Linked DNA regions of Rhinolophus ferrumequinum. The protein of the gene in region 1 purifies or fractionates together with the protein of each later gene. This does not show direct contact. Links are inferred from orthologs where the notes say so. Each region holds a gene or a part of one and is shown on either strand. Other genes may lie near its edges.

The links.
Region 2: the proteins of CDK16 (region 1) and CCNY purify together in Homo sapiens (affinity purification with mass spectrometry; 3 studies listed by BioGRID and IntAct, counting the BioPlex papers as one, with this or other methods). This does not show direct contact. The link is inferred for Rhinolophus ferrumequinum from reciprocal best matches to the Homo sapiens genes CDK16 and CCNY.

Annotation. Positions count from the first base shown.
Region 1 is NC_046284.1:86,675,940-86,690,773, reverse strand, and holds the start of CDK16 (cyclin-dependent kinase 16), read left to right. Parts: upstream 1-8,824; 5' UTR 8,825-8,839; coding exon 8,840-9,055; intron 9,056-9,298; coding exon 9,299-9,506; intron 9,507-10,082; coding exon 10,083-10,216; intron 10,217-10,318; coding exon 10,319-10,444; intron 10,445-10,555; coding exon 10,556-10,612; intron 10,613-10,708; coding exon 10,709-10,823; intron 10,824-11,487; coding exon 11,488-11,582; intron 11,583-11,680; coding exon 11,681-11,743; intron 11,744-11,992; coding exon 11,993-12,116; intron 12,117-12,298; coding exon 12,299-12,419; intron 12,420-12,529; coding exon 12,530-12,627; intron 12,628-12,710; coding exon 12,711-12,816; intron 12,817-12,880; coding exon 12,881-12,944; intron 12,945-13,081; coding exon 13,082-13,172; intron 13,173-14,321; coding exon 14,322-14,399; intron 14,400-14,484; coding exon of another isoform or gene 14,485-14,522; exon of another isoform or gene 14,523-14,782; coding exon 14,783-14,826; 3' UTR 14,827-14,834. Other genes in the region: UBA1 (ubiquitin-like modifier-activating enzyme 1), read left to right, coding at 291-392, 492-592, 728-863. UniProt on the Homo sapiens protein: Protein kinase that plays a role in vesicle-mediated transport processes and exocytosis. Regulates GH1 release by brain neurons. Phosphorylates NSF, and thereby regulates NSF oligomerization. Required for normal spermatogenesis.
Region 2 is NC_046288.1:5,981,443-5,996,897, forward strand, and holds the start of CCNY (cyclin-Y), read left to right. Parts: upstream 1-9,367; 5' UTR 9,368-9,498; coding exon 9,499-9,652; intron 9,653-15,455. UniProt on the Homo sapiens protein: Positive regulatory subunit of the cyclin-dependent kinases CDK14/PFTK1 and CDK16.

The DNA.
Region 1 (14,834 bases):
AATATTTATTGAGCACCTGCTATGCCAGGTACTCTTATAGGTGCTACAGTTATATTAATGAGATAGATTAAATAATACAATAAGTGATTTTGGAACCCTGAAAAAAGAATAGGATACGGGGGGCTTGAGAGTACCAGGTGGCAAAGGGTGGGTTTGGGATTTTAAATATGGGATGGTCAGAGCGGCTTGTGATCTCACTTAACATGTCTCTGCATGAGTGGGGGTGGGAGAGTGATGGGGCTGGACGCTCTGGTGGCTCCCACCCCACTGACCAGCTCCTTGTCCCGCAGTACTATAACCAAGAGTGGACGTTGTGGGATCGCTTTGAGGTACAGGGGCTGCAACCTAACGGTGAGGAGATGACCCTCAAGCAGTTCCTTGATTACTTTAAGGTGAGGCCCCTTCCTCGCTCTCACCCCACCTGGGGGGGGGTGTGCAGGTGACTGGCCTGTCCACCCCCGTGACATTGCCATCCCCTCTCCCTCCTCCAGACAGAGCATAAATTAGAGATCACCATGCTGTCCCAGGGCGTGTCCATGCTCTACTCCTTCTTCATGCCAGCCGCCAAGCTCAAGGAACGATTGGATCAGCCGTGAGTTGGGTGGCGGGGAGCCTCGGCTTGCAGCTGGCCCAGTCCTCTTCCCTGCCCTTCGCCTCCTCGGCCCCCACCCACCTGCCCTTCCACTGGGCTTTCTGCCTTCCTGACCCTCTGCTCCCCTGCCCCCAGGATGACTGAGATCGTAAGCCGTGTGTCGAAGCGAAAGCTGGGCCGCCATGTGCGGGCGCTGGTGCTTGAGCTGTGCTGCAACGACGAGAGCGGCGAGGATGTTGAGGTCCCCTACGTACGATACACCATCCGCTGATCGCCATCCCTTCCCGTAGACTGGTCCCAGCCCCCGTCTTGAGACCCCCCTCCAGCCCAGGGCTCCCATTTGACCTCTGGCCGTAGCCCAGCAAGCCAAGCCTGGTGTTCCCTCCTCTTCCCCCTACTTGAACCCCTCTTGCCATTGCTTCCTATCTTGTTCGGAACCTAAATCCTAATAAAGAATTATTAACCCAGACGTGACATGCCCTGCTGGTTCCAGGGAAGGAAGGGGCTTCCTGGTTCAGATGGTAACCCAGAGGGCTTGGCCCCACCCCAGCTGCCAGTTTCCTGGGCAGAGAAAATGTGGGAATTGCCACCTTCTTCCTCCTGCCCTCCCTGCTTAGGAAGAAGTAGAGGCACCAGTGAGGCCATAGAGAGCAGCTACCTGGGTCCAATTTATTTGAGCTGAGTTACAGTTCCTCTTTTTTCACCTCCTTATTCCCTGCCATATTGATGTTGGGTCAACATGGCTTATATCCTTGGGGCAGATACCTTTCAGCCTGGCTCAAGGCACTCAGACCCTGGACATGCCATTACCATCATGATTCCCAATGCCAAAAATGCCTGTGATGCCCTTAGTTCAACTTCCCTGCTGCAGGGAGGCCTAAAGAGCTCTGCTGGACTGAGGAATGCCAGTGCCTGTGCATACTTCACAGTTTTTATGAAAATATTTAGCTGAGAACACCTGTAGAGGAAAAGCCCCTTTCCCGGCCCAACTTACCCCATGGCCTGGTCTGCCTGTCCTGAGGGACGCCAGAGAGGCAGCTCTGGGGGCTGTGGGTTGTGATTGGTTAGAGCAGGTAGTGGGAGCCTCACCTCAGACCCCAACAAGACTATGTTCCATCTTTAGTCTTGGCTGAGCACTCCAAACAGTTGAAAGCACCAGTCTGGCCACCTGGTGCCTGAGGATGCCACTTATACCTCTGTCACCCAGCCACTTAGACTCATCCCTTCACTCAAACCTGGGTCCTGGGAATAGCACAACCTATCCCTGAACCTGACCTGACACCCATCACAGCCTGTCCCCACATCCACTGCCTGCTGGGCCAGCTTCAGACCGCAGACACCATGTATGCCCTGGTCTACCTCCCTCATGACCTCATCCTTTCACACTTCTTTTTTATTTCCCACCAGGACACTGGACTGAGGTGCTTTATTTCTGGCATCTAGTTAGTGGTGATGCTAGCTGTCTAGGTTAAGTGCAGATTTTCCATTATTGCTGCTCTAGAGTACTCCAAACATTCCACACCTGTCTCCACTGTTTCCACCGTTGCAGCATCTGAGGCTTGCGCACACACTTACTTCCTCTGCCCCCTTTCTCCACTATTCCAGCTCCTTGCGTACTCTGTAGACACTTTGTTCACTGGATCTTACCCATTGACAGCTCCTGATTCCCCAGATACTTAGTTCCTTTCTTCACCACCACAGCTCCTGGATCCCCTTGCTACTTGATTCACACCTGACACCCTTCATCAAGAACCCATAATTCCTGCTTGCATTTTATTTCCCCAATATATGCCATTGTACTTCTCTGTCATGTTTGTCTACCCTTATAACACCATAACACCAGCAAGATAGGAGACCAGGGCTCTGGGCATGGGTTGGGTGGCTGCATTGAGCCCCCTGCACCTAGCAGGCACCAAGGACAGGATGGGACAAGGTGGTTTCCTCATGTCTCTGCCTAGGGCTATTTGCCATTCAGGCATTCAACAAACATTCGTTGAGTACGTGCTGTGTGCCAGGCACATCCTAGGCATTGGAAACCACAATGGATCAAAAAGGTCCCTGTCCTGGGTGGGGGTGGAGGGTTATGTTCTAGTGTAAGACCCAGAATAGACAACAAACAGCAAAGTGTATGTTGGAAGTTGATAGGTGCTATTCAAAGGTCTGTAGAGCTAAGTCGAGATCTGGAATGATGGGGCAGGTAGGCATTTTTCAAATGACAGTAAGAGAAATCGTGAAGAAGGTAGCATTGAAGCAAGAAAACATTGAAGTTTAGAAGGTAACATTGAAGCAAGAAAACATTGAAGTTTAGAAGGTAACATTGAAGCAAGAAAACTGAAGTGTAGAAGGTAACGTTGAAGCAAGAAAACATTGAAGTTTAGAAGGTAACATTGAAGCAAGAAAACTGAAGTGAAGAAGGTAACATTGAAGCAAGAAAACATTGAAGTTTAGAAGGTAACAATGAAGCAAGAAAACTGAAGTGAAGAAGGTAACATTGAAGCAAGAAAACATTGAAGTGAAGAAGGTAACATTGAAGCAAGAACGTGGAAGAAGTGGGTGAGGCCTGCGGGTATCTGGGGAAAGATCATTCCAGGCAAAGGGAACAGGAAGTGCAAATTCCCTGAGGTTGGATTGTACTTGCTTTGTTAGGGAACAGCTAGGAGACTAGTATGGCTGGAGCGGATTGAGAGGAAGGGTAGGAGATGAGCGATCAGACGAGTGATAGACATGATTGTCCAGACCGCGGTGGACTTCTTTGTCAAATACAGTATTTTCACTCCCATCGTGGGTAAATCGCCACTAGTATAAACCTTACTGAAAAACTAACTGGTGTGACGAAGGCTGCCATAAAGGGAAGCACGGAAGAGACGGGGGAGCTGGCTTTGGACTGGGGTGCAGTGTAAAGATGTCCCGGAAGGGCTGCTGAAGGCTGCGGCCATTTGAGCTGTGCTTGATGATACCGTAGTGTAGTTTTCTTGGCAGAGGGGCGAGGGATTAGGTCTGCGTGGCAGTGTTGACACACAACAGGCCCCCAATAAAACAAAACAAAACTGCAGAGCCAGGGGAGCCACGGAGGGCTGTGGCAGGCAGAAAAAGGTAGTTGAGAAGTGGCAGGAAAACCCAATTCAGGGTGCTTACCCAAAGCTCAAGTGAAGCGGAAAAGAGGCCGCGTCTCCTGCCCCAAAGTTCCAAGCATGCGCAGTAATGCCTCTAAAGGTCCGCCTTTCTTCTCAGTCTAGGCTCCACCCCGTGAGCATCCTAGGGAGTGGGCGGGGTTAAAGGCGGGACCAAAGTAGATTGAACGCTCTTTTGACCAATTACCTAGCGGGATATTCGGCCTCCGGTGACAGGAGCTCAGAACGAAAAGGAGGGCCCGCCCCCTGACGGTGAAAACCAATGAAAATCAGGCAGAGGCGTGGTATGGCGGTGAAATCACGCCTCTTCGGTCCAGCCACGCCCTTCATTCTTGCACTGCCTCACCCCAGGGAGCAAATCCGATTGGCTGGGTGACAACCTCAAAGGGCGGGGCCGGTTCACAGTGGGAATGAGCTAGCGGTGTGGGAGTGGGGGGGTGGGGGGAGAGCAGCAGGGCGGGGCTAGACTCTGCCCTACCTAAGGTGATAAAGGCCAATGATTCTCCCGGCCGCCTCTCCTAGAAAAGTCATCTCGCGAATCTTTAAAATTCCTGCCTACCGAAGCACCTCAAGGAACTAGGACTGACTGCCTCATCTTTTTCTTCCTTGCAAAAGTCCCGTTTGCCACCATGGGGGATGTACCAAGTGAGATCGAGTAGGGGGAGCGAGTGGTGACCGGTACGCTGGTTATTGGCTGCTGCCCACTTCGGCGCTAGCAAACTTCCAGCAAGATCGGAACTGAGTACTAAACAATATCTACACTTCCCTCTGGCGCCGTTCCAGGGCGGGCGCCACATTCCCTGGTGGGCGCGCAATGGCCGCGCCCCCTCCCGCTGCGGACGGGTCTTTTGGTACGTGCAGTCCGAGGTGAGTCCCCTCCCTCCACTTCACCCTGTCCAGCGCGTGCGTGCGCATGCGCGGAGCGCGGCGCGCGCGGCGGTTGGGTCGTTGGCAGTTCGGCCCTGGGATCCGCCGCGTCTCCACGGGCAGTCGGCTCTGAGTCGCGCGCTGCTGTGAGCTCTCGGATTCGAGCCGGCGCCGACGGGCCCGGGGGCGTCGCCCGCAGCGGCCAAGCTCATGGCCGACTGAGCGGGACGCCGCCTCCGCCTCAGCCACCGCCGCCGCCGCCGCCTCCTCCTCCTCAGCCGGCGGCGGCCCGGGCCCAGCAGCCATGGCCGAAGACTACTGGGACGGGCGCCTGCGGCGAACTGGAGGAGGAGAAGGAGGTCGCGCGGCCTCAACCCGGGCCGCCGCCCCAGGCGCCTCCGCGCCGTCCCCGCGGCGTTGAGGTTGTTCGCGCGCCCCCGCCGGTGAGTGCGTCCCCGAGACGTGGGGTGGAAGCTGCCCTTCCTCCTACAGAACCAACCCAGGCCCCGGGCGGTGCCCAGGGGTCTGGACTACACCGCTGGCATGGGCCCCCTCCCTCCAGCGAATTGCCCAGAATGCACCGGGGCCGGGGGGTCATTCAGGGCCTCCCTGACCTTGGCCCCGCCCTGGGCCGGGTCTGGGAGCTGGGGGTGGGAAGTACTGTGGGTGCTAATGGGGAGCGGGGTGATCCAAGGACCAGAGGGTGTGGAAATGGGTGGCAGGGTGGTGAAAGAGTCGAGATTTGCTAATGGGGGCCTGAGCTGTGGAGGGGTCGGAGCATGTGGTATAAGTCTTAACCGCTGTGTAAGGTTTGGGGCCCAGTATGTGCTAATGGGGGGCGAAGGCGGTGGAGGGACCCAAGCGTGTATAATAGGGGACAGGATGTAAGAGAAGTGTTGGGATATACAAATGGGGTTCTATTTGTAGAAGGGCCCTCTGTTAACGGGGGAGAAGGTGGTAGAGGTACCAGATGTGCATATAGGATCAGGGCTCTGAGGCCCTGTGTGTGGTGATGAGGGTCGGGATGGTGCTAATCCTGTGTATTTGTCCATGAGGGACCGCACTGTGTGAGGGTCTAGAGTGTGCTCAGGGAGGGCCGGGTAGCAGAAGAACTCGAGTGTTGAGAGTGTGCTAATGGGAGTCCTAGCTGTGGAGAGTGTGTGCATGTGGTAATAAAAGTCTGGGGAGTATGAGCCCCAATCTGTGCTAATAGGGGCAGAGTGGTGGGAGACCTGAGCCTGTGCTAATGGTTAGAGTTGTGGATATATGGGGGGGGAGGGGGCAGTGGTGACGAAGGTATCTTAGCACTGTAAGAAGTTCAGTGTATTCAGGATCAAGATGGTGTGAGATCAGTGTGTGTCCATGAGGACGGGATGCGAGATTCTAGGACGCGGTAAGGAGAGGCAGGATAATATATGAAGTTCGAGTAACTGCTAATGTGGGTTTAGAGCCATGGAGGTGCTCAAATGTGTGTCAGTGGGGGGAGAGTCAGATCAGTATGAGGTCTGGAATATATGCTAATGAGACTCAGAACATTGTGAAGACACTGTGTGCTTGTGTCCACGGGGGCGGGGGGGGGGGTTGGGATGTGTCGAGGTTACAGGGCGTGCTGATGGGCGATAGAACTGTGGAGGGTTTCTGTGTGCAATAAGAAGGCTCAGGGCTGTGAAGGGATCCAAGTGTGAACCAATAGGGGTCATAGCTGTGGACAAGTTGAAGCAAAGAGAAATAAGGAATAGGAATATGTGAAGGTCTAGGTGTGCTAAAGTGGATTAGCGCCCTGGATGGCTGAAGTGTGTGCTACTGGGATTCAGGCTCAATGGAGACCTGTGTGCACTAATGAGGGCCAGGCCGTCGTAGAACAGTGTGTTTGAGTGTCCCTGGGGATAGGGCTGAGTAAGGGCTCAGGGTGTGCTACTGGGGAGGCACTGTGAGGCCCAGTGGGTGCCAATAGGGTCAGGGTGAAGTGAAGGTTCAGCTTGTGCTGATGGAGGTGGCAGGGGCAGAGCAGCGGGAGGGCCAGCATGTGGGTTAATGGTGGTCATCGCGGTGGAGGGGTCTGCGCGTGGGCAAAAACAGTCCGGTCAGGGATCTACACGGTTCACTTTGTGTTAATGGGATTTAGGGCACGGGGAAAGTTCACTGAATGCTAATGTGGGTCAGCTGTAGAGGGTCCCAAGTGAGTGTTAATGGGGAGTGAGTGCTGTGGAGAAGCTAACAGGCAGCTGGGCCTGAGGGGGGCCCAAGAATGTGGTGGTGGTAAGAGTTAACTTAGAAGGTTCTGGTGCTGTGTTGGGACTTTGTGTGCTGATGGGAGTTAGAGATAAAGGGAAATTGCAAGTGCTGATAGCAGTTAAAATACAGAGAGGCCTTCTTGAGGGTCCAGTGTGTACTGAAGGAAGAGGACACTGAGGGACCGGTGTGTGCGTGTGGGGCCCAGACAGGCTGTGGATACCGTGTTCCTGTGGCAGTGAGTAGAGTGCCGTGACTGTCCTCACTGGTCAGTGTGGTGTGAGGTGGTGGGTGTCCTTCGGTATGCAAGTATTCAAGTTTTACTACGTATTAATGTTCAAGTGTGTCTGTTCACAGGGGCCCACCCAGGGCCCTCCTGCTGGGAGTGCTGCACGATACAAAGATTTTGTACCCCATCTTTCTAACATCCCCCCAAAAACTGTCCAGCCCTTGGAGTTTCCAGTTAGAGGTCATGGACCCATGGCTCCTTCTGGCTCCCTCATCATCATCCATCAAGCCCTACTTACAGTCTTCCCCCACACACCCCGAAGTCCCGCATTCCCTCCCTCAACAGACAGACTGGGTATCATACCGTACGGACATAAGAGAGTCTTTGGGGGCTGGTTATGCTTCACCCTCCTCAGCGTCAGGTCCAGTGTTCAGCCTCCTGGGTCAGGATTTTGTTGTTGTTTTCCTGAGTTCTCTGAATGGACCTCATCGTCTTTACTGAGGTTTTTCTACTAGACTGGCCCCTCTACCCCTCCTGAGGATGGTGAAGTCAGGCAGGCAGAAGCAGGGTGTGGGGACTGCTGGGTAAGCAGCTGATTTCAAGGTAACAGATGACCCACTTCTCTCCTCGAATCCAGCCCCAGCCACATCCTCGACCTCCTATCTAGCTTCACTTCCCTTGGGCCCAGGGCCATCTTAGGCCCTGCTGTGAGTCCAGATGGTTCCTGGGCCAGGTCTTACCCCCTCCTTGCTGGCCCAGAGCCCAGGAGGAAGCAGAAGACGGCCGGCCTAAGCCTTTGGTGGCCCCATTCCCTCCAGCAGCCCCATCTAGGTAGGTCATCTTCCTGCCGATGCCAGCGTCCCTGGGCCACCTTGTCAGGTTGTTCATGAGTAGCAGGGACTCACTCACCCTGGTGGAGGTTGGCCCTAGGCCCTCAGCCCCCTGATTCATTAATTTCTGCCATGAGCACTTTTTGAGCATCTACCCTGTGTCAGTCACTGTTCCAGGTCCTCAGGATATAACCGTGACCTAGACAGACAGAAATCTACCCTGGCGGAGCTGATCTTCTAGTTATGGCGGTGAGGAGACAGTAAAGAATAAAGAATCCAATAAGTAGATGGTGTCATTTCTGAGGAAGTGATGAGTTCTGGGGGATAATTGGCAAGGTAAGGGAGCTCAGGATGGTTGACATTTTAAATAAGGTTATTTGTGGAGGGTTATCTATGGAAAAAAGGTAATATTTGAGCAATGGCCTGAAGCGGGTGAGGGAGTGAGCTGTTTTTGAAACCTGAGGGAAGGGTGTTCCAGGTACTGGGAACAGCCAGTGCAAAGGCCCTGAGGTGGGACTGCTGGGTGTGATTGCAGACCGGCAACTAATACCACATTGATTAAGGGGGAGGTGAGGCCAGAGAGGTAATAGGGGTGAATGGAGTAAGAACGTGTGGGCCACATTGAGGACTGGGAAGTTTATTTGGGGTGGTAAGGGAGATGTGCATTCTCAAGTAGAAGAGAAATGTGACTTGCCTTGTAAAAAATATGGGTAGGCCCTATAGGTCTCAGCCTGACTGTACCTTTCCAGGAGTCCTGAGGACAGCTGGTGTGCACTGAGACCCACCCCACCCAGTCTGGGCAGGACCACCCCCCCGCACCCCTCACCTGGATAGACCAGTGGAACAGTCCACTGGTCACTGTGACAGTGGTTGCTAGGGGAGGTGGGAGGTCCTAGTGGCCACAGAGAGCAGTCTGCCTTGGCAGTTGGGGACAATGTGGGGCTGGTGCCAGCGGAACATGCCACCCTATGGGCATGCCCAGGGCCATGTCAGTGGTCCCGAGGTCCTGGGCGAGCCCCCCGCTCCACCCATGGCCAGGTCTATCACTGCCGCTGCACCTGAGAATACCTGCTGTGGAGCCCTCTGTTCCCACAGTGAGACTGCCCCCATAGAGACCAGCATGCCATCGGTTGGTCCCTTACCTTCAGCCAGCCACCCAAGCCTCAGTACCCAGGTAGGCTCCTTAGGATCAGGATCCCCAGGAGCTGGCCATAGGTGGGCAGGCACTGACAAGGGTCCCCATTCGTGCCAGGTATCCAGGAATCCTGAGTGGTTCCAGGGCTCCACAATGGTTGGGTGGACACCGACACAAGTTCGGTTCAGTGTGTTTCACTAGATTGTCATGGGTTTTAGGGGGCCCATGGTAGTCAGGCAGAGGCTAACATGGGACCTGTTCCCATCCGTACCCCCTGCTCAGGTCGCCATGGATCGGATGAAGAAGATCAAACGGCAGCTGTCAATGACACTCCGAGGGGGCCGAGGTGTAGACAAGACCAATGGTGCCCCTGAACAGATAGGCCTGGATGAGAGTGGTGGCGGCGGCGGCAGTGACCTTGGAGAGGCCCCCACCCGTGCCGCCCCTGGGGAACCTCGCTCTGGACGGGGACCACTCACCTCTGCACCAGGTAGGTCTACTGACCACTCTCATCCCTAGACTGGTCCCCAGGTGCTGCCTCCCTGTGGAGTTCCTCTTAGACTTGTGTTCTTTTCATTTTCTTTTATCCATTTTCTCTGTCTTCCCTGCCATCCTCTCAGTACCCTCTCTATCCATCTGTGCCCCTTTCGTTGGCTTTGTGCCCAGGCCTCAGGGTAAGGAAGGGTACCCTGCCTGCCAAAGCTGCCCCAAGCCTCCCTTTGCCCTTCTCCTGCACTCTGTAGTGGCCTCCTCAGGCCTCCTGGTGCCTGCCTGCCCTGGGCCTGCCTTCCAAGGGCCTTTGGCTACCTCTTCCTCTGCCTGCCCCCTGGCCTCAGGCCAGCCGGTGTCTCAGCTCACCCCTGGTACCAGGTGCTTCGCTAGGTGACTGTCCCCCCCTACCCCATTCAACCTATCCTGACCTGTCTGAACCTCCCTGGGCCTTGCCACCCTCTCCCTGAGCGCCGTATGCACACCTCTATGATGAGGGAATATATTCCATGGGGGAAGGGGTGTCTTGGGGCTCCTGACTCCACCTGGCCTGCCCTCCCCCTGTCCGCACCACCAGAGATTGTACACGAGGACTTGAAGATGGGGTCTGACGGGGAAAGTGACCAAGCTTCAGCCACGTCCTCGGATGAGGTGCAGTCGCCAGTGAGGGTGCGCATGCGCAACCATCCCCCGCGCAAGATCTCCACTGAGGTGCTGAACCCCCTGTCCGGGTGCTGATGGGACTGACAAATAGGGTTGGACCTGGGGAGGTGGAGCTCATGGTCCTCTTTCTCCTCTGTCTTAACCTGCTAGGACATCAACAAGCGCCTGTCACTACCAGCTGATATCCGGCTGCCCGAGGGCTACCTTGAGAAGCTGACCCTCAATAGCCCCATCTTCGACAAGCCCCTCAGTCGTCGCCTCCGCCGTGTCAGCCTGGTGAGCATCTTCTTTCCTCTCCTCTGTTCCCCTTCCTCCTCCTCTTCACCCTCCTCTCCTCCTAAGTCCCCTCCCCTGAGCCTGCTTCAACCTGCCTCTTTTATCCCACAGTCCGAGATTGGCTTTGGGAAACTGGAGACCTACATCAAGCTGGACAAGCTGGGCGAGGTGAGGGACAGCCAGGAGGCCCATGATGGAGATGGCTTCAGTGGGAACTCGCTGCAGCCTCGAGCTGCTTTTCTGTCTCTCCTCCTCACTCCCCAGGGTACCTATGCCACCGTCTACAAAGGCAAAAGCAAGCTCACAGACAACCTTGTGGCACTCAAGGAGATCAGACTGGAACACGAAGAGGGCGCACCCTGCACCGCCATCCGGGAAGGTACAGACATCCGGGAAGATGCGCTCCAGGCTTCCCGGGCTCTCCTCCTGGTGCACGCGCACACACACACCCACACACCCATAGTGAGATCAGACCCTGGGGGTTCTGGGACTTCCTCCTGACACTCGGGGCTTCCTGAGAAAGTACCCATTACCCGTACATCTAGGTAATAATCAACGTAACCAGGAATCTGTTCCTGTTTGGGCGAAAGAGGCAGATGAATTGGAAAGCAAGATGCTTGCTGTGGTGCTGAGAGCTTCCCTGAAAGTGCTCGACAGTTTACTTGGTGCAACAGTTCGAGTCAGAACATCACATGCATTGAATTCTAATTACATAGAAACTGAGTATGCAAACTCAGTTTCACGTGAAGCTGCAGGCCTTTGTACTGAGGATTGGAGCAAGGCCCCATGCCAGAAACCAAAAACTGGTTGTGAAAATGTAGTGTCACATAAACCTGGGGCTGCAATCCCAGGGTCTTTCGTGCTTTTAATTTCCACATCTGGAACGTGAGAACACACCTGCCTGGCATTGGGTGGGTTAGAGCCACCACCCCAAACTGCACAGGGAAAGGAGGAAACCCTGGGCCTGTCACTGTCTAGTCCTAGTCTCTGTCCTGAGGGTGGGTCCCTGACTCTTCCTCCTCCCACCCCCATGCTTCCTGCAGTATCCCTGCTCAAGGACCTCAAACATGCCAACATCGTCACGCTGCATGACATTATCCACACGGAGAAGTCCCTCACCCTTGTCTTTGAGTACCTGGTAAGGTTGGGTGGCAGTGGGTCCCAGGGGGAGGTGGGGAGATGGCCGGGAGCCAAAGAATGTGACCCTCTTTCCACTACCTGCTTTTCTTTCCTCAGGACAAAGACCTGAAACAGTACCTGGATGACTGTGGGAACATTATCAATATGCACAACGTGAAAGTAGGTGTGGGGCAGGAAGCAGGGGCACAGAGGGGCCCTACTCACCCACTCCACCCACAAATCTCCCAGAAATGACTTTTCCCATTTGGCTTTTCTGCTGGGAACCCTTGGAGGGCATTGGGACCCCGTCTTCTTTTGTGAGACAAGGCCGTGGGCTCAGTGCCTGTGTTTGGGAGGGGAAGCAGTGCCTGCTGGGAGTCAGGCTGCTGGATACTCGTTGACCTCTGCCTGTTGTTCCTGGGTCCCCAGCTGTTCCTGTTCCAGCTGCTCCGTGGCCTGGCCTACTGCCACCGGCAGAAGGTGCTACACCGAGACCTCAAGCCCCAGAACTTGCTCATCAACGAGAGAGGAGAGCTCAAGCTGGCCGACTTCGGTACCCCTGACCTCTTCCTTCTTCCCAATGATCCCCAGCCTTAGTCTCCTAACTTCTCCCTTCCCCATAGATAGACCACCTAGTCTCAGGTCCCTTCAGCCTTGCCAGGCTTTACTTAGGACACCCTCAATTTTAACTGCCCAGGACTTTAATTCCAGCTGTCCCTTCTCTCCACCTACCAGGCCTGGCCCGGGCCAAGTCAATTCCAACAAAAACCTACTCCAATGAGGTGGTGACACTGTGGTACCGGCCCCCCGACATCCTGCTCGGGTCCACGGACTACTCCACCCAGATTGACATGTGGTGAGTACAGGTGGAAGTGTGGCAGGGGCTGTGGTGAAGAAAGTAGCTTGGTCACAGTGGCCAATCAGCCAGCTGCCTCCCTATTCATTCACTGTGCCCTCCCTGCCCAGGGGTGTGGGCTGCATCTTCTATGAGATGGCCACGGGCCGGCCCCTCTTCCCCGGCTCCACGGTGGAGGAACAGCTGCATTTCATCTTCCGCATCTTAGGTGAGGAGGCACGAGCCCCAGGAGCTGTGGGCACATGCAGGGAGGCCCTGTGAGATGCTTAGGGTAGTGCCTCTTCCCGACAGGAACCCCAACTGAGGAGACATGGCCGGGCATCCTGTCCAACGAAGAGTTCAAGACATACAACTACCCTAAGTACCGCCCTGAGGCCCTTTTGAGCCACGCCCCCCGGTGAGGCTGGTGGGTGGCTGGATGGGTGTCAGAGGCCAGAGTGCCAAAGCTCAACTTAAAGCAGGTCCTCTTGTCTTTGCGGTAGACTTGACAGCGATGGGGCCGACCTACTTACCAAGCTGCTGCAGGTGAGACCACCTTCCTGGGCCAGCCTTGGGGGCAGGGGGAATTTCAGGTGTGGGGAAATGGGGAGCTCCAGGGGTAGGGAGGAAGAGAGAGGCCTGCTCTGTAAAAGTGCCAGTCCTACCTGCCCTCCTCCACTCAGTTTGAAGGTCGAAATCGGATCTCCGCGGAGGACGCCATGAAACACCCATTCTTCCTCAGTCTGGGGGAGCGGATCCACAAACTTCCTGACAGTGAGTGGTGCTGGGGAATGCACTAGCTGGTGGGCAGTGGGGAGCAGGACTGCTGCGAACAGCTGGGCAGGTTGGCTAGAGCTCTGGCTCAGCCACCTCTGAGGGGGTGCACCCTTGTTCCCATATGTGATGTGTTTATTACAAAAAAGTTACTTAAGTTTTCAGTTCCTTTTACCTCTCATGGAAATTGTCAAGTGTACATACAAATAGATAGAATATTACTTTATCTTTTTTAAAAGTAAACATTTCCTTGTAAATTATATACTGAGAAATGCACAGATCATAAGTATACTGCACAATGAGTGTTCACAGACTAAACACAGACATGACATGTGTTTACAGGTCAAGAAACTGGATGTAAGAGGTTCCCCTGAAGTGCCCTCTCGATTCTTTAGCTATTCCCCCCCACCGCCGCCCCAAGGGTTAACACTAGTTTGACTTCTAGTGGTGTGAATTTTTCCCTTGTACTTTGCAGAAATGGAATCAATCAGAGGGGGTGTTTTCTTTTTGCATCTAACTTTAAAACGTTAACATGGATATTTAAAAATTAAGTACATTTATATATTAGACCAAATAATAATAGGAGTCCCCAAGAACTACAACAGGTTATCAACTCATGGCCAATCTGGTCTTATCTATTAGGTTGATGCAAAAGTAATTGTGGTTTTTGCAATTATTTTTAACCTTTTAAACCACAATTACTTTTGCACCAACCTAATATATTCCCTCTGATTATTTTGAGTCAAATCCCAGACACATCATTCATTTATAAATTTCAGCATGTATACATAAAATATTTTTTTAAACATAACAACATCATTATGGCACCTAAAAAAAAAATTGGCCCACTTACCTCTCCACTGGACTAATATAAATCAAATCCCAAATACCATCCATCACCTAGACTTAACAGGTGGTAATTGCAATACCATTATTACACTTGATAAAATTAATAATGGTTTCTTGGTGTCATGTATTAGTCCATATTCCATTTTTCTTAGTTGTACCTGGTTTGTAGGATTATTTGACAGGTGAAAGTCAAGTCTCTCAAAGAAAAGGCAGTTTTTTCCCCCCAGTAGAGCCATATGGGAGGTGGTCCTGGATGGCCTTGTAGCTCATTCCCTACTTCTGTCTCTCCTCCACCCACAGCTACTTCCATATTTGCACTAAAGGAGATCCAGCTACAAAAGGAGGCCAGCCTTCGCTCTTCGTCGATGCCTGACTCAGGTAGGTGTGGCTCTTACCCTCTTCCCTGCCCCATCCACCTACCTGCTTGTCCACCAACAGCCATCCGCTCTGCTTTTGCCCACAGGCAGGCCAGCTTTCCGTGTGGTGGACACCGAGTTCTAAGCCGAGTTCTAAGCCACAGACCCAGGCCCCAGCAGGCAGCAGCTGGAGGGATGCCATACCCCTCACAGGGCAGCCCCCAACTGCATCCTCCCTGCTTGCCACCTGCCTGACTCATGCTCACCTGCCCACATGTCCCCTGCTGCCTGTCCAAACACCCGATCATTGGCCTGTCAACCCACCCATTGGCCTGTCTGCTGGGTGCTAACAAAGCTCTCAATGCTCCTTCGCCTGGTCTGTTTGTCTCTTTCTCTCTGTCTCAGTAGTTGCCGGCGGACAGCATGGCCGTGCCAGCCTCCCACATTGAGGCCAGGC
Region 2 (15,455 bases), on another chromosome or scaffold:
ACTTTTCAATGGGGAAGACAATGGTCTGCATTTTGGAGATCGACCTTTTAAGATGTTTTCGTAACTGAAAGGCACAGGTAGACTCAACACAATGCTATGCAAATTCCCTGTACTCAGTTACTCAGCGTAGGGCCCTGTGGAGGGGCAGTGAGGTGGCGTGGCCCTCAAAACGACGGAAACTCAGTTACTGGACAGAAGGCGTCTTAGCTTAAGGAGCAGCACAGCTAATATAATTTTACAGTAGGTTAAGTGGAGAATAACATGTTCTGTGCCTAAAGGCAAGAAATTGTACCACTTGCTGCCTTTCAGTCTAAGAGCTAGAATTCTGAACAGCATCCAAATTCCCAGGTTACACTTTTTTGCATTAGAAACCACTGCTTCCATGCGTATCCCAGCCTTACAGCGATGGATGAGGTGTCCTCCAACTTGGATTCTCTTCTGTCACGAGCATGGATTCTACTTTACAATATTTGCTTGTTTTAGCAAATCACAGCGGTTTAGACAAAGACTAGGGGAGGGGGAAAAGCATTGGAGGTGAGAGGGTTTAGTCAAACTATTCTTTTTTTGAAGAGAGAAATAGGAAATGTGTTATTGCTTGTGGAAAAGGTAAAGATTTCAAAAAAAAAAATGAACAGAGGAAAACAAAACCAACTAAGTTTTGGATTTTGGGTATAACCATTGTTAACACAGTCTATTTGTGAATATCCCTAAAGGCATCTCTTTACATGTATATTCATAAGAATATGCAGTTTTTCGTAAGTAGGATCAGTCTGCTTTTTCTCTCAACTATATTTCATGGCTGTGTATAAGTATAGATGTATACACATCTTTATTTTTATGACTACATAGAATTCCATTGTATGTAGCAGAATTTACTTAACTAGTCATTACTTCATGGACATTTAGTTTGCATTCAATTTTTCACTATTACAAATTAAATGGCACTTCTTAGCATATTTTGCCCAAATAATTTAACATCTGTAAATATTAATATTCATTTCAAGTACTTTAAAATCAGTTATATAGACTTGTAAGTGAAGAAACATGTTAGTAAGAGTGGAAGTGCTTTTATTTCCTGAGAAGTCCTTTTTTCCCCCTACTCCATTCACACCTTTAGAATATGGAAGATAGGTGGCCTAAATCCTGTTCCTCTTTTCTATTAGCACTTTATACATAGAAGTGTCCCAAGGCAAAGTTGTGAACTATACGTTTTGGGAGCAGGTACAATGAGTCTTCCCTGACTGATCTCACCGTTTTTCACCCTATTACCTGTGCACTTGGTGTCCAGCATTTTCCCAAGTGCCTCGGGCCCTTCACGACAGCTCCTGGCTGGATCCCTTCCCAGAGCAGGTCTTGTTCTCTCACTGCTCCTTTTTCTTTAACCCCTCAGTTTTATGAGTGAAGATGCTGCCCTATGTTCTACCATCCTTTTAGGGCCTCGAGAAGTGATCTTTCTGGCCAAAGAGATATACTAACTGGTACTATGCTATTAGAGAACAGGTAACATTTTAATCTGTTATAGGCCTGCTTATCTGCAATTGGGCTGATTTCTGGGCTCACTTATATATATATTTCCAGAGTGATTTGGAAAAAGTGGAACCAGAATGACTGTTTGAAAATCCCTTCTGTCGGTAGTTAATCTTAAGAAGTGGTTTGAAATAAACAATTTTTTTTCTTTTGCAAACAAGTGTTACTTTTTTCTCTTAAAGTTTCCAACAGGAAGCTAAATAATGAATTCTTGACAGAACGTAATTGCTGTTATTTTCTTTAGATGCTATGAAAAGTTATAATGATGTGCATGTTCTGATAGAATGAATGACAATATTTGAAGTGAATAGCTGGCAGACAGGGTTTCTCTGTACCATTGCCCTGGTACCATTGCCTTTTGGGGCGTATGATTCCTGTTGTGGAGGCTGACCTGTGCACGGTAGAATGTTTAGCATCTCTGGCTTCTAAGCATTAGATGCAGCAGCATCCCCTCTCCAGAAGTGACAATAAAAAAAAAATGTCTCCTGACATGAGCAAATTGCCCTGGGATTCAGAACTACCGATTTGTACAAACTGGCAAAATCTTTCAGCTGAATGAATATGGGTTATTAGTATGTATGTGTTGCATACACACGCATGCACAGACATGCATAATCCCATACACAGCATTTTTCTTCTGGAGGATTTGGGTGCTTTTAGGTTAAGGGAAAAAAAAAGACATAAAGCACGGCAACCTAAGCTGTGGAATTGTGACTTCTGCCTCTGAAGTAGATGCCTTAAAGAATTACACTTCCCTTCAGTTTTTCTTTCTAATGCAGTCAGAGTTAGGCTCTAAGAAGCACAACTCCATTTCAAAAGGGCTGTTTTCCTAGTTAATTCAAGTCTAGAGAAAGCATTAAGGTAATAAATGCTATTTATTGCCAGCAGATCTCTATGAATATCAAATGCTTCACAACGCAAAGAATGAGGAAAATATTTTCTCAAAAGTTTCTCCACGTAATAAAAGGGAATTATCAGTGAAAACTCAACTTTCCACAGTCATCACTAACACCTCACCCCTCTCCACTCCCCAGTTCATTCCCTGTCCTTCTCTTGCCCTACATAAAGGAAGGAAAAATACCAGAAAACTGAGGGGCTAGAAAAAGGAGCATGTTCAAGTACCGGCCCACGTCTTACTCAGGTGTCAGGCCCTGTGGCGAGCATGAGAGGAGTGAGGGAGGCGTGGGTGCCCTTTAGGAGCTTACAGTGTAATCGGAACGATGAAATAAATGAACACAACAAAAATAGGAAGAGATAAATGGTTTTAGATAAAACATCTGTGAGTTTATTATCGCCAGCATGAAGGATTGAGAAAAACCAGTGCTTGTGCTGGGCCTTGAAGGGTAAGTAGGATTAAAAACTTGGTGTTGAGGGCAGGGAAGGAGGAAGAGTGTTTTAGGGGGGAAGGTCACATGAGTAAAATGAGAGTGAGTTGTGAGCAGTTCTGATCAGCTGGACAGAGGTGACTTGAAGGCCAGGCAGAGTGGCATTCTAAAAACAGTAAGAAACTATTGACAGTGACAGGCCTGCCCACTGCAGTGGGATCTACCTAGCTGCTCTTGGGGTCCCCAGGACTATTTGAATGTTGAATTATCGCTGCAGAGTGTTTTGAGTTCCTTGGGGGTTAAAAACACGAGGCAGAGACAGTAAGTTAACACAAGTCTTTAAGTATCCTTGTTTTACTTTTAAAACGCTGTCGGGTTTTGTCATGTTGGGAACAGGGTCTGAACTGAAGCCAGTTGACTAAGGTAAAGGTAGGTGAAAGTACGGATCATGGGAGACATTCAATAAATCCCCTACCAGCACCACGAACGCCAGTCATCCTGGACTAGAAAGACTTGTTGCTGTGCTGCGAAGAGGATAAGGCGGCAGAAACAACCTTCCCACCCCTTTCCAAATAGTCAGTGAGGTCATGAAAAGAAAAATTTATTTGAACAGGAAAATCAATTTCCAGGATCTTGAGCATATAGACCAGGGTAGATTGATGGTTTCCTCCCAGGAACCTTTGGCTTCAGTTTGGGGAATACCGAAGGAGTAGTGCTATGTTAAAATAGTGTAGCGGGCATTTAATTCTTTCAATTTCCATGGGGACTAATCTGCCTTTTGGAAGAACTTTCTTGTGCCACCAAAATTCTACCTTGGCTCCAGAGCCTGCCTACTGCATCTTTCTGTTCCAACCTGGATTGTCCTATGAGGAGCCAAGTGAATATGACACTCCACAGTTCTAGGTCAGAGTCCCTATTATCTGGGGGTCAATTAGTGAAAGTTGTCAACATGAATACGTAAATCTCTATCAAAGAATAGTATCAAATACTGGCCAGATCAGGATTAGGTTTGGCTGCATATAACTTGGGAGTTCAAAATAACGGTGACTTATAAAAACATACCGTGTTTCCCCAAAAATAAGACCTAACCGGAAAATAAGCCCTAGTATGTTTTTTCAGGGTGACATCCCCTGAACATAAGCCCTAATGTGTCTTTTGGAGCACAAATTAATGTAAGACCCAGTCTTATTTTCGGGGAAACACGGTAGTTTCTCTCATGTAAAAGAAGAGTACAGGGACATTGTCTTAGTTCATGGCTTCCATCTTCAAGGTCACCTGGTATTCAAAAATGCATGCTCGAATTCCAGCCATCATGTCCACATTGCAGGAAGCAGAAAAGAGGAAGCTTCTCCAGAGAACTTTCCTGGAAGATTCCACTCACATCTCATTGGCCCAACTTAGCCATGTGGCCAGCTGTTGTCTTTGAGGCAGGCATATTGCTGTTCCTCACAAAATGGAGACCCTGTATTAAGGGAGATGGAGACACTGGGGAGGAAAGCAGCAGCCTCTCCAGTCTGACCTATGCCTGACCCTGCTGAAATGCTGGAATTTGCCTAATCAAAAGTACATCTCAGTTCTCAGAGATTACCCATACACTTACTATTTCTGTTCATGGTGATCAAAGAGGGATAAAGAAGATAGAGTTTGGCAAAAGAGGGATTGGACTTCTTAAGGCTTTAGCCTGGCGATACCTGGTGAATTCTCAGTGGTGAGTTAGATAATTCCGTTTCCAAGTGGGTCTGTGCCCAGATACCCAGAGACTATGGCTATCTCCTGCTTCATTATTTACTTATAAACTAAGGTTTTACTCATAGACAGGAAATATGTAGCATAAGTGTTAGGTTCTTTCTTTTCTTTGGCGGGGGGTGGAAGGGGAATAGGACATTTTTTTAATTGGCGAACAGTGTGTACTTCCAGGACTTTTCCAAGTCAAGTTGTTGTCCTTTCAATCTTAGTTGTGGAGGGCGCAGCTCAGCTCCAGTTCCAGTTGCCATTGTTAGCTGCTGCGCTAGTTGCAGGGGGCGCAGCCCACCTTCCCTTGCGGGAGTTGAGGAGTCCAACCAGCAACCTTGTGGTTGAGAGCCCGCGCTCCAACCAACTGAGCCATCTGGCCACCGGGGAGCTGAGTGGCAGCTCATTGACTTCATTCTAGTTGCGGAGGGCGCAGCTCGTTGGCCCTCCATGTGGGAATCAAACCGGCAGCCCCGTTGCCCAGAGCTCACGCTCTAACCGACTGAGCCACCTGTCCACCCCTAAGTGTTAGGGTCTCATCCTCCTTTCCTCATGGCAGTATTTTTCCATTAAACTGGAACATGACCTCAGAATCCTTCTCAACAGTGTTCCTGGCAGTTACACTGGTCCAAAGGATGTGTCGTTGGTGTTTAAATCTACCTGCCATCTTTAATTGCTTGTGAGGATTTTCAATCTGACAGATTCTCTGGGTATAATTCTTTAATTTGTAGCTATAAATCTCTCATAGATATATCCACAGGTGATAAAGGCATATATTTATAGGTAGCAGCCTTGTCATTTTTCAGATTTTACCACTAAGTGAATGCAATCAACTCAAATTACTGGACATGTTCTAAACATGTTCTTTTGACTGTTTTACTGGACTATGATTTCTCTAGGCCAAGAATTATATCTTATCCATTTTTGTATCCCCATGGTACCTGGCTCAGTGTACTTTTAAATGTTTTTATCAATAAATGAATCACGTATAATTGGTCAAGATCAAGTGACTATCAAAGTAAATACTTCCCCATAACTGGTTACATTGTGGACTGCTTACCACAGAGCACTACTAACAGGAGGCCTTATCTGGAGGGGAAGTCATTAGAAAAAAAGAGGGTGACAGGAGCAGCACTGGTGGTACAACAAAGGGTCTTGGTTATTCCAGAACTGCTTTACAAATGTTTGAGTAACTGACACAGGAAACTGGCTACCTGGTGACAAAGAAAGGACAGATATACTCTGAGCAGGGTTTTTTTTCCTGAGATTCTACCCATTTCCCTTCTTTTCACCAAAGGTCCATCCAGGTCCTAGGTTCACTTGGCTCAGTGTTTTATGTGTTCTAGGTGATTCAGAGTTGTGCAAATGACAGATTCATATTTCATGGATATAGGTGTGGCTGAAGTAAGACTGTACAAGGTAGCCTATTCTGATTTGTTTTAATAAATATTATAATTATTTAATACTCTTACCATTTATGTTTTAAATATTGTGGTTCCACTGAAAATTTTGTTGAGAAAAAAGCTACTACTGCTAAAAAAATGTGAAGAGCACTGCCTTAGCTAGCTCACCCAAGTCCCCCATTTACCTCTTTATACTGACCAAATTCTTAAACATTAATAATGGAGAAAGATGAAGGGAAACAATTACCAAATGTTTCTTTCTGCTCAAAGAGCATGGTGGGTTCTGATCAGATCTAAGTTGATGTTTTCTAAGAAGGCTGAAAAACTGTCTTAAGGATGGGGCCTTGGGTTGCAACGCTCACCTTCCCTGTCCCGCTCCAGCGCCAATCCTGGGCTAGATCTACCCTATTGAAGAAGTGTCCGCACATTTAGATTCCTAAGTCAGAGTTGGCTAAATTCCTGCATAACGCTTTGCCCTATAGTTGCTGACTGTCTACTTACTCTGGTCAGAAGGGTTAGGCCCCAGAAATAACAAGGCTCCCCTCTCTTTTGTCTTCTTCAAGTCTAGAACTAGTCCTTAGCAGTCACTCCCAGCTCCCCTCAGCAAGAGAACAGAAGAGGAGAGAAGCAACACTAGAGTCTCTTTTCCATTCAAAACTTTTGCAGATTTCTTCTCTCATTACTCCAATCTGCTTCCCTGCTTCCATTGGTAGTGGTAGCTAGAGGTGGGGGCAGGAGGTTAAGCTGGATGCAACCCAGATGGGACCTTATGGACTCTAATTAGAACCAAGGTGCAAACCCCAGGTAAGCCATTTCTCAGTAGTTTTACCTTAGACAGGTTTAATTATCAGAATTAAAGTGTCTTTATTTGTAAAATGGGGGATAACAACATAGGCTTAGATGTAAAAAATACTTAGTACAATGCTTGGCTTCTAGCGGGTATTCAATACATGACACCTTTCATTATCATCTTGGCATCACATTGCTTCTGCAACCTTTCCTAAAGTGTCACTGTGTCAAGCAGGAACCATCTTTGCCTGGAGGAGTTGGAAGTGCGTGTGTGTGGGGGTGGGGTGTGGGGGCGTGGGGTGGTGGTTGGCACTCAGGTAAATCACTGGTCAAGATTTAGCACTTATCTTTCCTCCCCACGCCTGTTGACCAAAAGTCATACTTCTGAATAAGCCCTAAAGGAAATACAGTGGGAATGTCAGAGAATAGGTAGGTGTGATGGGGGAAGGCGGGGAGTGCACAGAACAGTCCCTACAGGCCAGTGACTATCCCATCCTTTGGCAAGAGTGTGTGGCTACCTTGAGCTCCAGTCATGTCTTCCCCTGCCTCCAGATGCTATTCCCAGTTAATGCTGCCCGGTGATGGCTCTAGAACAGGAAGAATGAGAGCCACGCTGTCTCTTCAGTGCTATTTGTTTTCCCATTTTGAGCCCTTCAAAGCATGTCATTAATTAATTAATATTATAAATTTTATGATGTAACCTATAATGTACCTAAGTGAATATGCCATACACATATGGCATATTCAGTATTGGATTACAAAGCAGCAATCAGAACTGACAGTATAGTAACCCCTTTCCCAAGTTTCAGCCATTTACCCACATATTGTAGCCCTGAAAATCTGAATATACACATTCACTGACTTGTAGTTATGTCCCAAACTTTCCTGGGAGGCAAGAGGGTCCGAACTGCATTAATAAAAAGTATTAATTTTTCTTGTTGCTATCTCCCCACCTCTTCCCAGCTGTAAGTCTTCAGAACTTCCCTTTTGCATTTCCTTTCTCATCTTGTCAGCATCAGCACTTGGCTGCCATTTTTTTCTCAAGGACATCGCCACTTATCCCGACTGTCGTTAATCTAGTTACCATCGTGAACCTTTTTAAAAATATGGTCTAATAAATGTATAAACATTACCAAGAGACAGAGGAGCAGCACAAGTTATAAGAAAAGGCTGGATATCAAAAATTAAACGAAATCACGTTTATAAAGCCTTTGGCAAGATGTACACATTGCTGATACCAGATAAATATTACTTCCCATACTTTTCTTCCCTGTTAGTTCCTGTCTGTCACTAACTAGTACTGAGATCTGTGGCAGGCACTTCAATTCTCTGGGCCTCAATTTCTTTATATTTTAAAAATTAAGAGGGTTGTACCAAGTTTTTTCGGGTTCAAAAACATTTTTTCCCCAGTCTCTCCTCATGACTCCTTCATTGACTATTTGGAAAAGGGTGGGAAGGTTATTTCTGCCACCTATACACTTCCCAAGACAGGTAACAGGTAAACGGACTAGTGAAGGCTGGTGTTGGGGGCCTGGGAAAGGAATGGGAACCCACCATCTCCCACAGCCAGGCAGTGTCACTTACCTTTATCTTATTTGAGTGGCCTCAGTTCAGATTGTTTCCCCTGCACAAAACCCAACAGCATTTTACAAGTAAACAAGGATAGCTGATGGTAAGTTACCTGTCTACCTCACGTTAACCTCCAAGGAACTCAAAACACTGCAGCTAATTCGACATTAAAACAGCCCAGGGCACCCTAAGATTTATTTCTGGGCTTAAAACAAGGTCACTATCAAGTCCTCCGCAAAGCTCAAAATAGAAGAACTCCCAAATAAAGGTCCAGCTTCCTTTTAAAAGCTTAAGAAGAAAGAAAAGAAAAAAGGCCCCCCCCCCCCCAATTCCTGTCGCCCAAGAGTGGCCAGCTCAGCCTCGGGGACTCCCAGGCCGCACCCCACCCTCCTCGGTCTCGCGGCCCTGAGGACCCGGCCGCCACACAACACTCGTCCCAGCGTCAGGCCCGGGGAGGCAAGGCCGGAGGCCGGAGAGGAAGGGCATCGGGACGTGGAGCGCCCACGACTTGGTCGCGGCTCCGGAGCCCGCATGAGGCGCGCCCGCGGCACCGACCCCACACACGCGCGCGGCGCGGGCCCACACCTCCCTCCCGGCCGCGATCTGCTTCCAGGGCAGCGGGAAGGGGCGGCGACGGGGCGGCGACAGGGCGGGGCGGGCGACGAGCAACCTCCGGGCCGTACCGCGCCTCCCCGCGCCGGGCCGAGGGCCGCGCCCGCCCACGCCCGCTGCCCGTAGCCCACGATCGCTAACGCGGACACGCGTCTCAGCTGCTTGAACCGGAACCTCTTGCCGAGGCCGTCGCCGCCGCCGGGACCCGGGCGCCGATCGGGAAGCGCGGGGAGGCGGCCTGCGCGGCGCCCGCCATGGCCGCGGCGGGGTGAGGTAGGCGCGGCGGCTGCAGTCGCGCGGACCGGGCGCTCCTCCGCCGCGGACAAGCCCGCCGGGACAGGGCGGCGCGGAGGCCGAGGGATCCGCCCGCCGCCCGCTTGTCGCCGCCCCGCCTGCAGCCCATGGCGAGGCCCCGCCGCCGCCGCCGCTGCTGACCGGGCGGGCCACGCTTCCGTCTGTCCCCGGCGGCGGGCGGGCCTCCGCTCCACGCCGCGCCGGGCCCCGGGAGCCAGGCGAGCGCCGCTGGAGTCGGGCCGCCGAAGATGGGGAACACTACCTCGTGCTGCGTGTCGTCCAGCCCCAAGCTCCGGAGGAATGCCCACTCCCGGCTGGAGTCCTACCGGCCTGACACGGACCTGAGCCGCGAGGATACGGGCTGCAACCTGCAGCACATCAGCGACCGGGAGAACATAGACGGTGAGCGGCGGGCCCGGGGCGGGGGGGGACCCGCACCCCGCCCGCGTCCGCGGGGCCCGGACTGCACACCCGCGTATGCCAGCCAGACTGCTTGGTTCTCTGATCCCGGCTCTGGGACCCGGGACCCGAGAGCTCGGGGCCTCCTGGCCTGTCCCACGAGGGAGTCGGGGGGACTCTGCCGGCCGGGGCTCGGGTACCGCAGGCGAAGAGGTGCAGGTGGCCAGGTGACAGGAGCTGGCCCTTGTCAGCCCTTGTCAGCAGACGTGAAGGGGCAGCGCTGGGCGGAGGCGGCCAAAAGCCCGGGGTTCCAGGCACGGTCTAGTCCCAACCAACTTATGCGCGACAAGGGTGAGCCCGTTCGCCCTTTAAAAGGGGAAGGGAAAGAAAGAATGGACGATCTTTGGCATAACTGGAGTGAATTCTCATTTTGGAGTCACTGTTTCTACCTAGAGTTGGAGAACAGGGTTGGCCGCTGTCAGCTCCTCGGAAACTTACAAATTTACCCCATTTGGCTGTTCTACAGCAGCATTTCCTTTAAAAACTAAAACCAAAAGCAAAACAAAAAGGATTTGGGGGTGGATGGGGTGATTGAGGGATTGGAATCAAATAGGTTCACCTGAATGCTTACAAAAATTTCTTAAGAGTATCATTAGAATGGTTTGGAAACTGCTTTGGGTTAAGTTGCCCGGTTTTTGCTTGGGGCTGAATTACACTCCCGTGAATTTCTGATTGATCTTAGTGACTTTCTCTTTGGACTAGTGTTAAGACTGATCACTACACCTAGTAATGTTTATTTTATTGATATCTTTATTAGTACTGTATTATCGATAAACTACGTGGCTTAATATCTACAGATGGGTAGCTTATGCATCATGCTTAATACAGTTTCTGTAATTTTCAATTAAGAAATTTGAAGTACATTTTTATGACACCTTGATTTTTCTTTTGTAACCTAGAAATCTTCTCACAGTTGATCCGATTGAACTAATGTGAAAAAATTTCTTGTATGAATGAATTGACAACTCTGTCATAATTTATTCTTGTCAACTTTAGGATGGAAACTTTAGTGTGGAAAGCCAAATTTACACTCTCCTGAAGGAAAGGGTTTTCTCGATTGTTGGCCACCTTTAATCTCCCTTTAGTAGTAATGTCATCTCTTTAGGACAGCAACTTTATTAAATGAGTATCACATATAAACAGACTAATACATCTGGTTTATAGTAGGTGCTTAGTAAGTTAGGGTTCCACGTGACATTTCTAGTGTTGTTATTTTAAACTTCCATTATATTAACCCACTCGTTAGATGTCTTGAACTACAGCCATACTTTGTTTTTAAATTTATTAATTTAAAGGCATCTAGAAGGATATTAAGACCAGGTATGTCTTGATCACTACTATGGTCCCAAACACCTATCTGAAAGAAGTGTCTAGAATATAATAAAGACTTAATAAGCATTGTATTTTAAAGGAATGAATCAGTGAATGAGTTAATTATAGAAAGCCATTACCCAGTCCTATACAATGTTGATAGGCAAAAACACTTGACAATAATTTCTCCTTTATGTTGTGCAGTAATAATGGATAGAGGCTTTATGTTTTAAATAATGGATTAAAAAATACAAACAGAAGGAAGGTTCACATTTCTTAGAGCCAGGCTGCATACTGTTATTGACCATAGTAGGGAAAAAACAAAGTAATTGTAATCAGCTATTTGTCAGTAAAGCTTACGAGGATTTTGTCAGAGAAAAATAGAATAGTGTAGTGTGCTCTTTCATTTGATAAAAATCTAAATTTGGTCGTCATTCACTTTTGAGAAAACATTTGGAAGACCACCAACTCTTGTGTTGGAGGTTCAGGACAGTGTAAGAGACTAGGTCAGGTTAAGGAGATTTCTAATCTAGGCTGTAGTATCCTCTCACCCCGAAGCCCTGTTTGGATGATGATGCTACTTTAAACTCAGAAATATTTAAACAATGTTCTTTCTGTTTTCCACGTTGAATAAATAACACTTCTGGGATTTACCTATCCAGCAGTTCTTAACACTGGTTTCAGTTAGCCCAGAAATCTAGGACTGGGCCTTGGCATTAGTATGTTTCAAGCTCTCCAGATAGTTCTAGGATGCAACCAGAATTGAGAATTGCTGCTCTTGTTTAGGGGCATTTTCCATAGAAATTCATTCAGTGTCAGAGGCTGGAGAAGAGAACAGGTAAGTTAAATAGGATGTAGATGTATATCTATATTTTAACTTTGGAGTTGTATTATTGTTAGATGATTAGTAAACATTTTAAAACTACATCTCAATTCTTGATTCTAGTGTGGTATATAACAAAAGCTGAAGGCTGAAGCACCAAATTTCTGAAAGACATTCCAGACAACTAAGAATGGAAAGGTTCAGAAAAGTTTGTGGGCTTCTGTACTAGGTTATTTTCTTTAAACCACAGAGAATGAGGTATGTACCCAAATTTTTCCTGGCCAGACACACAATGGGTAATATTTGTCCCCGGATTTCACTGACTGAGAGGGCAGTTAGGCTTCCATGAGACCTACCCGCAACTTGCCCTGTCTTTGTACTCAGTGTCCCTTAGTGTTAGGTTATTCATGTTTTTGGAATTTATATTAGACTCATCAGCTCCCCAGGCAATATTCCTCATAAAATTATTACGAGATTGTGAAATAACAAAAACACCGAACAACAATAATACTAATAATTGCAACCCTTATATATTGCATACTCTGTGTCAGATGCTGGTCTAAGTGCTTGACATCTATTCATTAATTTAGTACTTACAGGAACCTTGTGGGTAATATTATTCTTACTTTAAGACAAAGAAATGAGACAGAGAGAGGAGAAATGACGTGTTCAAAGTCATACAGCTAGCAAATGACCAATGGAAGTTTCCCATTGTTGCTTGACTAGCCATTAAGCATTAACTAGTGTTGGGTTGCCTTCTGGGGGAGGCTGTCTCTCATTGCAATCGTGTCCATATAGCCATAGTTTCTCTGAGAAGGCACTTCATCTCTCTGCAACAGACTGGACTTCCCTGAGTAGATTATTTCTGAGAGAGGAGAAGAAGGCAGATGGACTAAAGAGAATTTAAAATTCGATGAGACCAAACAAATCAGGATATTTGTAATATCTTGTACCCTAGTGTCAGTTGGGGAGTTAGGCCTCAGAATGATTGGTAGCAACTTTATCCTTTGTAGATTAACTGTTATCCTTGACAATCCAGTATTTCCCTCATTCCCTATCCAACCTACTAGGAAAGCATGCCTCTGTCTTCAAAATATACCCAGAGTCTGACCGCTTCTTAAAACTTTTCCTGCTGCTCTTCTGACTTAAGCAGCTATCATCATGGCCCACCTAACTGGTCTCCCTGCTTCCACTCTTGCCCCCTACATTCTGTTCTCAGTACAGCAGCTATAATGAGATCCTTTGTAAAACTTAACACATTACTCTTCTTCTCAAAAACTTCAGTGACTCCTTATTTCACACTGGGTAAAAGTCCTACGGTGGACACCAATCCCCTTTGTGATCTGTCTGCCTCACTCACTCACTCACTCACTCACTCACTCACTCACTCACTCGCTGGCTCTTTCCAACCACACTGGCCTCCTTCAGGGACCTTCCTTGAACATACCAGACACACTCTTGCCCCAGGGCCTTTCCTCTGTCTCTGCCTGGAATGCTCTACTCCGTGTATTCTCTTGGCTAAGACCCTCATTGTCTGCAGTCTTGGTTCACGTCTCACCTTGTCAGCGAGGCCTTCCTGATCACCCCGTTTAACGTCACTCCTGCTACCCCATCGGCAATCCTGATAGACGTTCTCTACACTACTGTTTCTTTATTGCACATCACCTGTGATACATTGTATAAGTATGTACATATATAATAATAACTATTGCTACTTACCAGCGTGGAATTTACAATAGAACGTTGTTTTGTTCATTGATGTAACCATGTGCCTAGAATTGTGTCTGACATCTTGAAGACACTCTATAAATATTTGTTGAATGAATGAGCGAAACCAGCCCCTTAAGATCAGTGTCAGAGCTTCATCATGTGTACTTATTGTGTGAGAGGAAGCAGGTGGAAGTAGAGAATGCACAAGACTTGTAATCATGAAAGTAGGGTGGATGTGAAACTTTCTGGTTTTGTTTGCATTTTATCCTGAGAGGTAGCAGATAGGGTGAAGTCCTGAAAATGAAATGGAAGAAAGATTTTAAAGCATGATAAAAGAAAAAAAAAAAATAAACACCGAAACTGAATGGAAACTGTGGCTAATGGAAATCTGTTTAACAATATGCTATGTTTAGTCTTTTTTCCTTGTCTCTTCAGATGAATGGCTTTAGCTGTGGTCTTATGTATCCTTAAGGATCAAAATGCGGCTAAAATGCTGGGCAAACCAAAAAGTACTAGATGAACATATGCAATTATGAACATAACCACTCATGTTGATGTTTTTGTATTAAACACGAACTGTGTTTATATAGTAAATGGTGTTTGAACTTCTCAGATCCAGAGAAGCTAGGAGCCTGTGGGGCTCATCCTGTGTGTGGGAAGCAGTACCAGAAAAACACTGTGACCACAGTGGCGACACAAAGGAGCAATTTAAAATCGAACTACCTGTTGTAGTATTAACTTGAAGTGCTGCTCTTGGTTTCTTAGGGTATCTGCAACCTACAATACTTAACCTCATCTCTTCGGCATTCTTTTACTTGAGTGTCAGTCCCACTTTGATATTTCCAGTCTGATGGGCAAAACCGTACCCATGGACTTTTCATTCCAGACTAAAGCTTTATTAGCTACGCTGCCTGCAAGATGCGTGAAGACACCGACCAAGCATGGACCGGCGGTGTTTTGGCAGTGTAGAGAGGGTTTGCGGAGAGAGCCATGCTTCAAAGCATGATGGTAACTGCATGACCTCCTCTCCACTTCCTTACCTTGTTTTCCTCTCATTTACGATCAGGGAGCCATTCGTTCCATACTCTCATTTTACAGATAAGGATATGGAATGTTGGAGAGGTGCAGTCTCTCGCCCAGGTCATGCAGATCCTGGACAAGGGCACGTAGTAGAATTTTCTGTGTGTTAACTTTGGGCTGAGACCTCTGTTAATTATTGACCTATATTATCTTTTTTAATGTTCACATTGTTCTCCCTGTTTTACAGGAGAGGAAAATGGAGCCTTAATGGTTAAGAAATTTGCCCAAGTTTCCATAGCTAGTTTGTGGCAGAGTTGGGGTTCAGTCTACCATCACTTGCTAGAAGTCCACACCTCAGTTGCCCTGCTAATTAGATCTGTGTCTAGAATCCCACCCATGCCTGCTTTGTTTTAAGAGATCCAGTCATTGCCTATATGCATCTGGTTAGCAATTCTTTGTGGTTAGGATTTTTACTTTTCTGCCTGCTTCTTGAGAGGAGTGAAGATTAAATAATTTTGTGGAATGGTAGATTTTCTCACCCTTTTCTACAAAGCTGATTGTCTCTATCATCTTACGGAGATGAATTGCTTTCACATTTCTGGTTAGATGAAACTAACACAAAGATCAAATCCATTCCTACCCAGAAAAAGGGCAGAACCAAAAGGAAAAAAAGGACAAGGGGCAAGATATGTTAGTAGTTTTAAAAATCCGTTTTAATCACACAGGGTCAGAGATTTAGCTCCGTGAGGGTCATGCTGGGCTTGCTTTAAGGAAGTATTGTTTGGTATTTTTCACAAGAGAGCTGTTGACAGTATCATACTTGTCATATTTCATAGTCCAAATCCTTTCATGATTGAACATTTAGGCAACCAGGGTAGTAGG